Saccharomyces cerevisiae S288C: one gene and its partner. The protein of the gene in region 1 binds, or shares a complex with, the protein of each later gene. Each region holds a gene or a part of one and is shown on either strand. Other genes may lie near its edges. A codon is read from its position in the direction of its gene.

Region 1 (6,625 bases):
CTAAGGGATTTATGTTTCTCTATATACCCAAATTCATTACATCAGAAAATCAGAAGCATAGAAGCTTTGCCAGACCTACAGGTAAATACCTTTATTGCCTTAATTTTCCAAAATTTCGTTAAGTCTTGGTATGGTATCAAAATACCCACTGATGATTCCAAGTTTTTAACCGAACTATATAACTTAGTTCAAGATTTAATAACATATTTGAAGAGTTCCAAAATCAATTACCATGCCCTTTTACTCGATTATATTCCCTGCTTGCTTTCGTCTCACTTGAAAGCATTAAATGACTCATCTCAAAATAACGATTTAGTTTATGAACAGTACTGTAAGCTAACTTTGTATGATTCGAAACGATATCCAATGCTATTCACTGAAATCATACAAAGTAAAATGAGCACCAAATCTCTACTACAGAGAAGCTTTTTGGATAGCTTTTTAAATGAACTTGTGTTCGGGCATATTTTTAATTCAATAGCGGAACCATATTATCTTCTGGAGGGCTTGAATAAAATTTGCATAAGAATAAAGCTAAATTCTGCAGGAAATACCAGAAACGAGGTGACTCATGGAAAGCCTAAATGCGATCCCTGGTTGTTTGTTTCCAATGTAAAGCACAAAATATTGCAAATGACCAGGCTTTTAGCTTATTCAACTTCAACAGAAGCAGCAAATATGAACACTGCCGAAATTCAAGAAACAGCATTTCTACAAAGATATATTTTTACTTTTTTCACCGATGATTTTTTCAAATTATCTATGAGGAAGCCATTCCTATTCTCAATATGCAGAACGCTTCAGCATTGGATCTCTAAATTAAATGCGTTAAACAGGGTCATGTATAGAACATTTGACAATATTGTTCAAACTAAAATTACCAGCCCTGTGACAATTGGCAACTTATTCTCATTATTACGACATTCTTTGTTTCCTAATGACAATATGATGGGGCCACCAAGAGTATTACCAGTGGGTGATGCTTTTCTAGAGTTCAGAGAAGAGTGTATTTCCAATTTATGGGATGTTTGTATGACTTATAAACTTGATCATATCCTCGCTATCAAAAGGTCTGACATAGCGGATCTTATTATCTGCATATCGAAGAATAGGGATTGCAATAAACTGCTAATTTATAGAATTATTGACTGTGTTATTGCGCAGTTGCCGTAGACTTCGTGATGTATAGAGTATTGTTGACAAATATTTGATGTTACCGAAATAGCACTCTTTGTAGCATTATTACCAATTTTTATACTATGAAGTAAGGTCTTAGGAAGCAAGAACATTGTTAACAAATAGCTTTTATGACCTAATCATTAGCACTATTCATTGCCAAATATGCAAATATCTATTCCTTTTGCCCGAACAGGTAAAAGTGGTATTGCTTTTATGTTAAACGCGAAACTGCCGCCACTTCGCTTAAAAAAAACACTGGCTGAAAAAGAACGATGCAGTTTAGTAACTAAAGTTTTTTCTAGCTCAGGCTTAGAGTTCGATAACAACAAGTCACATTCGAGTGCTCCACTTATAGCAATTTTTCTTTTGTGTATTGGTTTGCTCCTGTGTGCTCAGGCTTTTCGTTTGTTGTGAGAGTATTGTTCTTATAACTATTCATTTTTTGAAAGAATTGGCGGCTAGCAATGTCGTACCCAGGGAAAGACAAGAATATTCCTGGAAGAATAATAGAGGCCCTAGAAGACCTGCCTTTGAGTTATCTGGTTCCTAAGGATGGGTTAGCCGCGCTAGTAAATGCCCCAATGCGGGTTTCTTTACCTTTTGACAAGACTATCTTTACCAGCGCTGATGATGGCAGAGATGTTAATATAAATGTTCTAGGTACAGCTAACAGCACTACTTCTTCCATAAAGAATGAGGCCGAAAAAGAAAGGCTTGTTTTCAAAAGACCCAGTAATTTTACGTCATCAGCCAATTCTGTTGATTATGTCCCAACTAACTTTTTGGAAGGATTATCACCGCTAGCGCAGAGTGTTCTATCAACCCATAAAGGGTTGAATGATTCCATTAACATCGAGAAAAAAAGTGAAATAGTAAGCAGACCGGAGGCAAAGCATAAGCTCGAAAGTGTGACTTCGAATGCTGGTAACTTGAGTTTCAACGACAATTCTTCCAACAAGAAAACCAAAACTTCAACAGGTGTAACCATGACACAAGCGAATTTAGCGGAACAATATTTGAATGATCTTAAAAATATTTTAGATATTGTTGGATTTGACCAAAACTCTGCTGAAATTGGAAATATCGAGTACTGGCTCCAGTTGCCAAATAAAAAATTCGTTTTAACTACAAACTGCTTAACCAAATTACAAATGACAATTAAAAATATTACCGATAACCCACAGCTATCGAACTCAATCGAAATAACATGGCTTTTGAGATTGCTTGATGTGATGGTTTGTAATATAAAGTTCAGTAAAAGCTCTTTAAAGATGGGTTTAGATGATTCTATGTTACGATATATTGCTTTGCTTTCTACAATTGTACTATTCAATATTTTTTTACTGGGTAAGAATGACAGCAACTTACATCGGGAATCATACATCATGGAACCGGTGAATTTTTTAAGCGACTTGATAGAATCTCTAAAAATATTAACAATTGAATATGGTTCTTTGAAGATAGAATTTGACACTTTCCAGGAGGCCCTAGAATTGCTACCGAAATACATACGTAACGGCCCTTTTCTGGATGATAATGTCACGGCAAAGCTTGTGTACATCTTTAGCGACTTGCTGATGAATAATGACATTGAAGCAACTACGAATATCCAATTTCAAAGTTTTTGGGATAATGTGAAGAGAATCAGCTCTGATATTTTAGTTTCATTATTCGGTAGTTTTGATCAACAGAGAGGATTTATTATAGAAGAACTACTATCTCATATCGAAAAGCTTCCCACTAAGAGAATACAAAAAAAACTAAGAAAAGTTGGTAACCAAAACATTTATATCACTGATTTTACCTTTACTTTAATGTCAATGTTAGAGAATATTAATTGCTACTCCTTCTGTAATCAGATGAAGGATATTGCACCAGAGAATATTGATCTATTAAAGAACGAATACAAAAAGCAAGAAGAATTTCTTTTTAACATTGTTGAGCATATAAATGACACAATACTGGAAAGGTTTTTCAAGAACCCGTCCGCTTTAAGGTATGTAATTGACAACTTTGTCCAAGATCTATTATTGCTAATTTCCTCCCCTCAGTGGCCTGTAACAGAAAAAATACTAAGCTCTTTGTTAAAGAGACTTCTAAGTGTATACAGCCCATCCATGCAAGTTTCTGCAAACATTGAAACAATATGTTTACAACTTATAGGGAATATTGGTTCTACAATTTTTGATATTAAATGCTCAACTAGAGACCATGAAGATAACAACTTGATTAAAATGATTAATTACCCCGAAACTTTGCCGCATTTTTTTAAATCATTTGAAGAATGCATTGCATATAATGAAACGATCAAATGCCGTCGTTCTGCAACAAGATTCCTTTGGAATTTAAGGCTCGGTACGATCTTGATATTAGAAGAGTATACAAAGGATGCCAAAGAACAAATTATAACCGTTGACAATGAATTGAAAAAAATATTGGAGCAGATAAAAGATGGTGGACTTGGACCCGAATTAGAGAACAGAGAAGCAGATTTTAGTACGATTAAATTGGATTATTTTTCTATTTTGCACGCCTTTGAACTACTGAATCTATACGATCCATACTTGAAGTTGATATTATCACTTCTAGCCAAGGATAAAATCAAACTGAGATCGACTGCTATTAAATGTCTCTCGATGTTGGCTTCAAAAGACAAAGTGATACTTTCAAACCCAATGGTTAAAGAAACTATTCACCGGCGTTTAAACGACTCATCTGCATCTGTCAAGGATGCCATTCTAGATTTGGTCAGTATTAATTCTTCATACTTCGAATTTTATCAACAAATTAACAACAACTATAACGATGATAGCATAATGGTAAGAAAACATGTGTTAAGAATTAATGAAAAAATGTACGACGAGACGAACGACATCGTCACGAAGGTATACGTAATAGCAAGAATCCTAATGAAAATAGAAGACGAGGAGGACAATATAATTGATATGGCTAGGCTGATTTTATTAAATAGATGGATATTAAAGGTACATGAAGTATTGGACCAGCCCGAAAAGTTGAAAGAAATTTCTTCTTCAGTCCTACTAGTAATGTCCCGTGTGGCTATAATGAATGAGAAATGCTCCCAACTTTTCGACTTGTTTCTCAACTTTTATCTCCTAAACAAAGAAGCGCATTCAAAAGAAGCATACGATAAAATCACTCACGTTCTAACCATTCTTACCGACTTTTTGGTACAAAAAATTGTCGAGCTCAACTCAGATGACACAAATGAAAAGAATTCGATTGTTGATAAACAAAATTTTTTAAACCTTTTGGCGAAGTTTGCTGATTCTACTGTGTCATTTTTGACTAAAGACCACATTACAGCATTGTATCCTTATATGGTATCGGACGAAAAATCTGACTTCCACTATTATATCTTGCAAGTCTTTAGATGCACTTTTGAAAAATTGGCCAACTTTAAACAGAAATTTTTGTATGACTTAGAGACGACCCTTTTGAGTAGGCTACCAAAGATGAATGTAAGAGAGATAGATGAAGCTATGCCTCTTATCTGGTCTGTTGCCACTCATCGTCATGATACTGCTAGAGTAGCTAAAGCATGTTCATCCTGTCTTTCCCATTTACATCCATATATAAATAAGGCAAATAACGAGGAAGCTGCCATTGTAGTTGACGGAAAATTGCAAAGGCTGATATATTTATCCACCGGTTTTGCCAGGTTCTGCTTTCCTAAACCCTCCAATGATAAAATTGCATTTTTACAAGAAGGTGAAACCCTGTATGAACATATTACCAAATGCCTACTTGTACTATCTAAAGACAAAATTACACACGTAATAAGAAGGGTTGCTGTGAAAAATCTCACTAAATTATGTGGAAATCATCCAAAACTATTCAATTCAAGACACGTTCTACATTTACTGGACAAAGAATTTCAGAGCGATCAGCTAGATATTAAACTAGTAATTCTAGAAAGTTTATATGATCTTTTTCTACTGGAAGAAAGGAAGTCAGTGAGAAACACTGGCGTTAATAGCACTTTGTCTTCGAACTCCATTTTGAAAAAGAAATTACTGAAAACGAATAGGGTAGAGTTTGCAAATGATGGAGTATGTTCAGCGTTGGCTACTAGATTTTTAGACAATATTCTCCAACTATGTCTCCTACGTGATCTAAAGAATTCTCTCGTAGCTATTCGATTATTAAAGTTGATTTTGAAATTTGGTTACACAAATCCCTCTCATTCAATTCCAACTGTAATTGCTTTATTTGCCTCTACTAGCCAGTATATTCGTCATGTCGCCTATGAGTTGTTAGAAGATCTTTTTGAGAAATACGAAACGCTAGTATTCAGTAGTTTATCTCGAGGGGTTACAAAAGCTATACATTATTCTATTCATACAGATGAGAAGTATTATTACAAGCACGATCATTTTTTGTCTTTACTTGAAAAATTATGTGGAACTGGAAAAAAAAATGGCCCAAAGTTCTTTAAAGTTCTGAAGAGAATCATGCAATCCTATTTAGATGATATCACCGATTTAACATCAACAAATAGTAGTGTTCAAAAGTCCATTTTCGTTCTCTGCACTAACATTTCGAATATCACATTTGTTTCTCAGTACGATTTGGTGTCCCTACTCAAAACCATTGATTTAACTACAGATAGATTAAAAGAGGTTATCATGGATGAAATAGGTGACAATGTTTCATCGCTATCCGTATCAGAAGAAAAGCTCAGTGGAATAATTTTAATACAGTTAAGCTTACAGGATTTGGGTACTTATCTACTGCACTTATACGGGTTAAGGGATGATGTGCTTTTATTAGATATTGTAGAAGAATCAGAATTGAAGAACAAACAACTCCCTGCAAAGAAGCCGGATATCAGTAAGTTTTCCGCACAGTTGGAGAATATTGAACAGTATTCATCAAATGGCAAGCTTCTTACATATTTTAGAAAACACGTGAAGGATACGTAAATATATTGCACTTAAAATATACATAGTATTAATAATCATTTTGCATTTTCCATGCTGATTTTTCACGCAGGTTTTGAGAAGCAACTATGAAATATTGAATTTCATTTACACCATCGCATTATATTAGTTCAAACTAAACCTTTTTTTTCTTGCGGACAGGCAAAATATTAATACCTGAGTTAGTTTTCATTCCATTGTGTGTTTTTACAAAGGTCTTTTCGTTACAAGAGGGCACTATTGCTAAGTTTGGGTTGATATTGTTAATAATAGCACCCACATTCTCAGAAGACCTTTGTGAAATCTGAGATGCAGTGCAAGATGAAATTGAACCTAAAGGTGCCTTCTCTGAAAGAGTTGGACTTATAGATGCAGCATTGTTCCTTAAGGCATTCATTTCTTTTGATTTGACAGTCTCTGTCACAGATATTTCCTCCGCTTTAACATTCAGTTTCATAGACTTTTGTGTATCTTGCCTTATATCCCGAATGACTTCTGGTTCC
Region 2 (4,447 bases), on another chromosome or scaffold:
AGGACGAAAAATTGTTGAGAACGTATACGTATATTGTATTCTTCTTTTTTTTCTTTGCTGCCCTTTTATTATCTATTTCATTTTTTAACCAGAGGCAATCGTAAGAGAGAGATAATATAGCCCTTTTTGGTCTTTTTTGGCACCTTCAGCCGGACCCTGCTCTTTTATTACCCGGATGCTCGGGTTTTGTCTTTGCATCCGGGTAGCAAAACAGAATACTTGCTTTCTTATTGAAGTAGAAAAAATACAGAGAAAGCGAAAAAGGCTTCCTTGGCGGATAGATGGTCTCACAACAAGCATAGCGTATACACGTGCACTCACAAGCATACACAGAAGCGCGCAAAATGAGTCTACCGGAGATTTTGCCTTTGGAAGTCATAGATAAAACAATTAACCAGAAAGTGTTGATTGTGCTGCAGTCGAACCGCGAGTTCGAGGGCACGTTAGTTGGTTTCGACGACTTCGTCAACGTTATACTGGAAGACGCTGTCGAGTGGCTTATCGATCCTGAGGACGAGAGCAGAAATGAGAAAGTTATGCAGCACCATGGCAGAATGCTTTTAAGCGGCAACAATATTGCCATCCTTGTGCCAGGCGGCAAAAAGACCCCTACGGAGGCGTTGTAAAAAGGCAAAAATTAACGCGAATTTGTATAGTGCATCTAAAAAAAATAATTAAGTATAAAAATAGATAAAGGAAATCAAGTGTTTCTTTTTTTTTTTTTGGTTTATTGTTTGACACTGGTGATTTGCTTAACCAGCGCCTCCAGCTTCGCGTTCGTGAGAGCGACGTCTTTTCCCCGCATCGCCACCGTACAATTCATTAAATGCCATATTCCGATCACGTATTGGACCTTGCGCATGCCGCCCTGCTGGCGGCACATATCGAAACACTTTGCTGAAATCGCATAGATCTCGCCCAGATCGTGTTCGAGCATTCGACCGCCTAAGTAGTTTACCAGTATTTGCAGCAACAGAGCCTTCTTCAATTTGAAGCGGTTGTCCGCAACGGCTTCTCCGGCAACGAACTTGTTGCTAGAGTAGAACTCGCGGAGCTTCGACACGTACTCGGCGCGCTGCTTGTCACTACATGGCAGCGGGTTCCAACTGAACGGCTCGAAATGGCTGAAAAGCCATAGGATCGTTACTGTGCACTCCCATATGGGGTTGAACTGCAGATCCGTTTCTTGTAGCAATTTCTCCACCTGAAGCCACACCTTGTTGCATTGCTCTACGAGTTCGCCCTGTTTGTCCCCCGAACATCGGCTCACTCTTGCCGCCTGCACTGTGTAGCAATTCAGAAGCGATATCATCTTCACCTCGCTGGATGTACCGCCAGATTGTGCAAGCCGCGTGTACTCTTCTACGGCCCCGCCGCCTTCAAACTGAACCTTCATGGCTTGCAGCAGCCTCACGTAGCCTGGAGAGGGCCCTAACTTAGGTGACTCGGTCGTCACTACGGCCCCCTTCAAGAGTGTTTGTTCCCACACTTTGTAAAACTCACAGAATTCAAGAATGCTCTTGTATGTCTGGATTCGTGAGTCCAGCTCATTCATCGAAACACCGCCAGCGGCAATGTTCTTAATCAGTTTCTGCGTTGTAGAATAGACTTTGGGGAGGAACTTCCTGGAAAAATTGCCCTTTTCGTCATAACAGTTCACGATGTAGCTGACACTTTGCAATAATAACAGTATGTTCTTTAATTCTTTGTAGTGGAAAATCATAGGCAACTCTACTTTCAGCGCTATCCTTGGCATGATTTTGATCACACATCCCTTACCTTCATTAGTGACTAGAGATTGCTTGTTTGTGTCAAAGAAATTTTTGAATTCGTTCAAGTGGTCCGTAATATTCCCGTCTTTACAAAGCTGGATTACCATCTCTAATGCCAACTTCCATGCATATAGCTCAGGCCCCACCGTGTGCAGCTCCGTGCTTCGCAGCTCCTGCAGAGCATCCTCGGGGATTGGGAACCTCTCATTTAGCAAGTAATTCACATAACACAGATTTAGAAACCATTTCCATTGTGACTTTTCCCGACATTGCGAGAGTAGCCCATGAAAACTCGTCTTCACCCTGCGGTGCTGTTTCAGCTTAATGCAAAGCATCACGCCGACATACTGGAATACGGATGCCCAATTTTGATACAACTCATCCTGCAAATTTACCATGTACTGGACTAATTCATTGCAATTTCTTAGTGCAATCTTATAGTGGAACTTACTGTCTCTCATAAGTGGCAAGTCATGTAACAGCAGAAACTCGCAACGCATGATCTCTTCTACCAAATCTGTGTCGCTCTGGTGCGTTTGTAACCGTTCTTTCAAACTGGAAATGTAAAGCTCTGCTAGGTCAAAATTATACGTCTCCTGTATCAATAACTCCACCATCTCAAACGTGACCTTACTATCCTCCAGAACTGAAAGCGTACATTTCGTTTTCAATAGCTGAAACATCTGGATAGACATGTTCATGAGGCCATAATACTGCTTCAACCCTTCCTCAGAACCGATTTTATTCGCAATTGAATATGCATGGTCTCTGTATTCCTGTGCTAAGTGGTATACTTGTGAAATACTAAGTTTGTCGCCAAGATTTTCCATGAATTTGTACTTCTTTCGAAATCGTTCAATTTCTACCAATACTGATTCCCCTCTGATAGCTGAGATGTCGGGATTCCCTTTGCTGATAGATCTAACTCATCTCTTTACGTATTTTAATTGTGAAGCCGTAAATAGTTATCTTCCAAGTTTCTCTTACGCGAGCTTTTTGGGAAAAGAAAAAAATTTGAAGATCTACATATAAAACATGGCTTCAAAGGATTACTAATGACTTTTTTTACCTTGATAGGTATTCTTGATGGTAAGAGTAAACAAGGGACGTGAAAATTACAGTAGTTACTGTTTTTTTTGGACTATAAGATCGGGGGAAAGATAACACATAAGAAATAAAACGACTACTAGTTAGACTGCTCTGCGGAAGAAGCAAGGAAGTAAAGGCTGCATTTTATTTTTCTTTTCTAGTCCAACATAAACAGGTGTATCAAGAGAAACTTTTTTAATTATGGCCGATGAGGAACGTTTAAAGGAGTTTAAAGAGGCAAACAAGATAGTGTTTGATCCAAATACCAGACAAGTATGGGAAAACCAGAATCGAGATGGTACAAAACCAGCAACTACTTTCCAGAGTGAAGAGGACATAAAAAGAGCTGCCCCAGAATCTGAAAAAGACACCTCCGCCACATCAGGTATTGTTCCAACACTACAAAACATTGTGGCAACTGTGACTTTGGGGTGCAGGTTAGATCTGAAAACAGTTGCGCTACATGCCCGTAATGCAGAATATAACCCCAAGCGTTTTGCTGCTGTCATCATGCGTATTAGAGAGCCAAAAACTACAGCTTTAATTTTTGCCTCAGGGAAAATGGTTGTTACCGGTGCAAAAAGTGAGGATGACTCAAAGCTGGCCAGTAGAAAATATGCAAGAATTATCCAAAAAATCGGGTTTGCTGCTAAATTCACAGACTTCAAAATACAAAATATTGTCGGTTCGTGTGACGTTAAATTCCCTATACGTCTAGAAGGGTTAGCATTCAGTCATGGTACTTTCTCCTCCTATGAGCCAGAATTGTTTCCTGGTTTGATCTATAGAATGGTGAAGCCGAAAATTGTGTTGTTAATTTTTGTTTCAGGAAAGATTGTTCTTACTGGTGCAAAGCAAAGGGAAGAAATTTACCAAGCTTTTGAAGCTATATACCCTGTGCTAAGTGAATTTAGAAAAATGTGATGGGGAAGGAGTAGACGAAAAGAAAAAAAGGTTTTCTATTTGTTCCATTTTCTCAATTATTAATGGTCCTCAAAGAAATAAAAGAAAAGGAAGAAGAAGTAATTGTAATATCAAACGGTTTTTTATAGTATATTCTTCTTATTCTATATTTATATATCAATGTTTTATAATAAGATGTTTATTCATAGCATATCTGGTGGATCGTCTCTATTAAGCGCCAGCGAGGTGTTTGCCTCTGCATTTTTCAGCAAAGCAAGCTCCCTTTCCAGCTTGAATCTATGTTCACGCTCATCCGACAATTCTTTTTCATACTTTCTTTGTGTACTCGTAAGCACTTTTTTAAACTCACTTGTCATTATTGAAAGTGAACGTGATCCAGAACCGCTTGTGGGGCTTCCTACAGAGGAAGGTGAACTTGGATCCCAAGTCACCGGCGAACTCGCTGGTGATGACATGCCGAAATTATGTCTGCTTGAATTCAGCTTGTTGTTGGCTTTTTCAAGTTCTTTATTTTCCTGCTCCAATTCGTGTAATTTCTTTTCAGTTTTACTCAAATTCGAGTGGTTGTTTAATAACTTATCTTGTAATTCTCTGTTAGTCCGCGTTAGCTTCTCGATATCTTGTACATATTCGGCACGGTCATTCTCGAATTGCTTAGTCAA

Evidence for each region. Proteins that work in one complex are often made in the same cells at the same time.
Region 2: the proteins of SCC2 (region 1) and SCC4 are in contact, whole or in part, in a crystal structure (PDB 4XDN), measured with the Saccharomyces cerevisiae proteins. Residues at the interface, in NP_010466.3 of Saccharomyces cerevisiae: Met1 (codon at 1,644), Tyr3 (codon at 1,650), Pro4 (codon at 1,653), Gly5 (codon at 1,656), Lys6 (codon at 1,659), Lys8 (codon at 1,665), Ile10 (codon at 1,671), Pro11 (codon at 1,674), Gly12 (codon at 1,677), Arg13 (codon at 1,680), Ile14 (codon at 1,683), Ile15 (codon at 1,686), Glu16 (codon at 1,689), Ala17 (codon at 1,692), Leu18 (codon at 1,695), Glu19 (codon at 1,698), Asp20 (codon at 1,701), Leu21 (codon at 1,704), Pro22 (codon at 1,707), Leu23 (codon at 1,710), Ser24 (codon at 1,713), Tyr25 (codon at 1,716), Leu26 (codon at 1,719), Val27 (codon at 1,722), Pro28 (codon at 1,725), Lys29 (codon at 1,728), Asp30 (codon at 1,731), Gly31 (codon at 1,734), Leu32 (codon at 1,737), Ala33 (codon at 1,740); in NP_011074.3 of Saccharomyces cerevisiae: Gly5 (codon at 2,590), Asp6 (codon at 2,587), Lys7 (codon at 2,584), Leu8 (codon at 2,581), Ser9 (codon at 2,578), Ile10 (codon at 2,575), Ser11 (codon at 2,572), Val13 (codon at 2,566), Tyr14 (codon at 2,563), Leu16 (codon at 2,557), Glu19 (codon at 2,548), Tyr20 (codon at 2,545), His23 (codon at 2,536), Ile27 (codon at 2,524), Ala28 (codon at 2,521), Asn29 (codon at 2,518), Lys30 (codon at 2,515), Ile31 (codon at 2,512), Gly32 (codon at 2,509), Ser33 (codon at 2,506), Glu34 (codon at 2,503), Gly36 (codon at 2,497), Leu37 (codon at 2,494), Lys38 (codon at 2,491), Gln39 (codon at 2,488), Tyr41 (codon at 2,482), Gly42 (codon at 2,479), Leu43 (codon at 2,476), Met44 (codon at 2,473), Asn45 (codon at 2,470).

What each region holds. Positions count from the first base shown.
Region 1 is NC_001136.10:819,652-826,276, forward strand, and holds SCC2 (cohesin-loading factor complex subunit SCC2), read left to right. Parts: upstream 1-1,643; coding exon 1,644-6,125; downstream 6,126-6,625. Other genes in the region: NVJ3 (Nvj3p), read left to right, coding at 1-1,173; SAS4 (Sas4p), read right to left, coding at 6,259-6,625. UniProt on the Saccharomyces cerevisiae protein: Plays a structural role in chromatin and is involved in sister chromatid cohesion. Forms a complex with SCC4 required for the stable association of the cohesin complex with chromatin, which may act by hydrolyzing ATP from SMC1 and SMC3 heads.
Region 2 is NC_001137.3:462,241-466,687, forward strand, and holds SCC4 (cohesin-loading factor complex subunit SCC4), read right to left. Parts: upstream 2,603-4,447; coding exon 728-2,602; downstream 1-727. Other genes in the region: YER145C-A (uncharacterized protein), read right to left, coding at 146-583; RNA-binding protein LSM5, read left to right, coding at 345-626; SPT15 (TATA-binding protein), read left to right, coding at 3,063-3,785; PEA2 (Pea2p), read right to left, coding at 3,968-4,447. UniProt on the Saccharomyces cerevisiae protein: Involved in sister chromatid cohesion. Forms a complex with SCC2, which is required for the association of the cohesin complex with chromosomes. Binds to the nucleosome-free promoter regions of ribosomal protein genes and tRNA genes.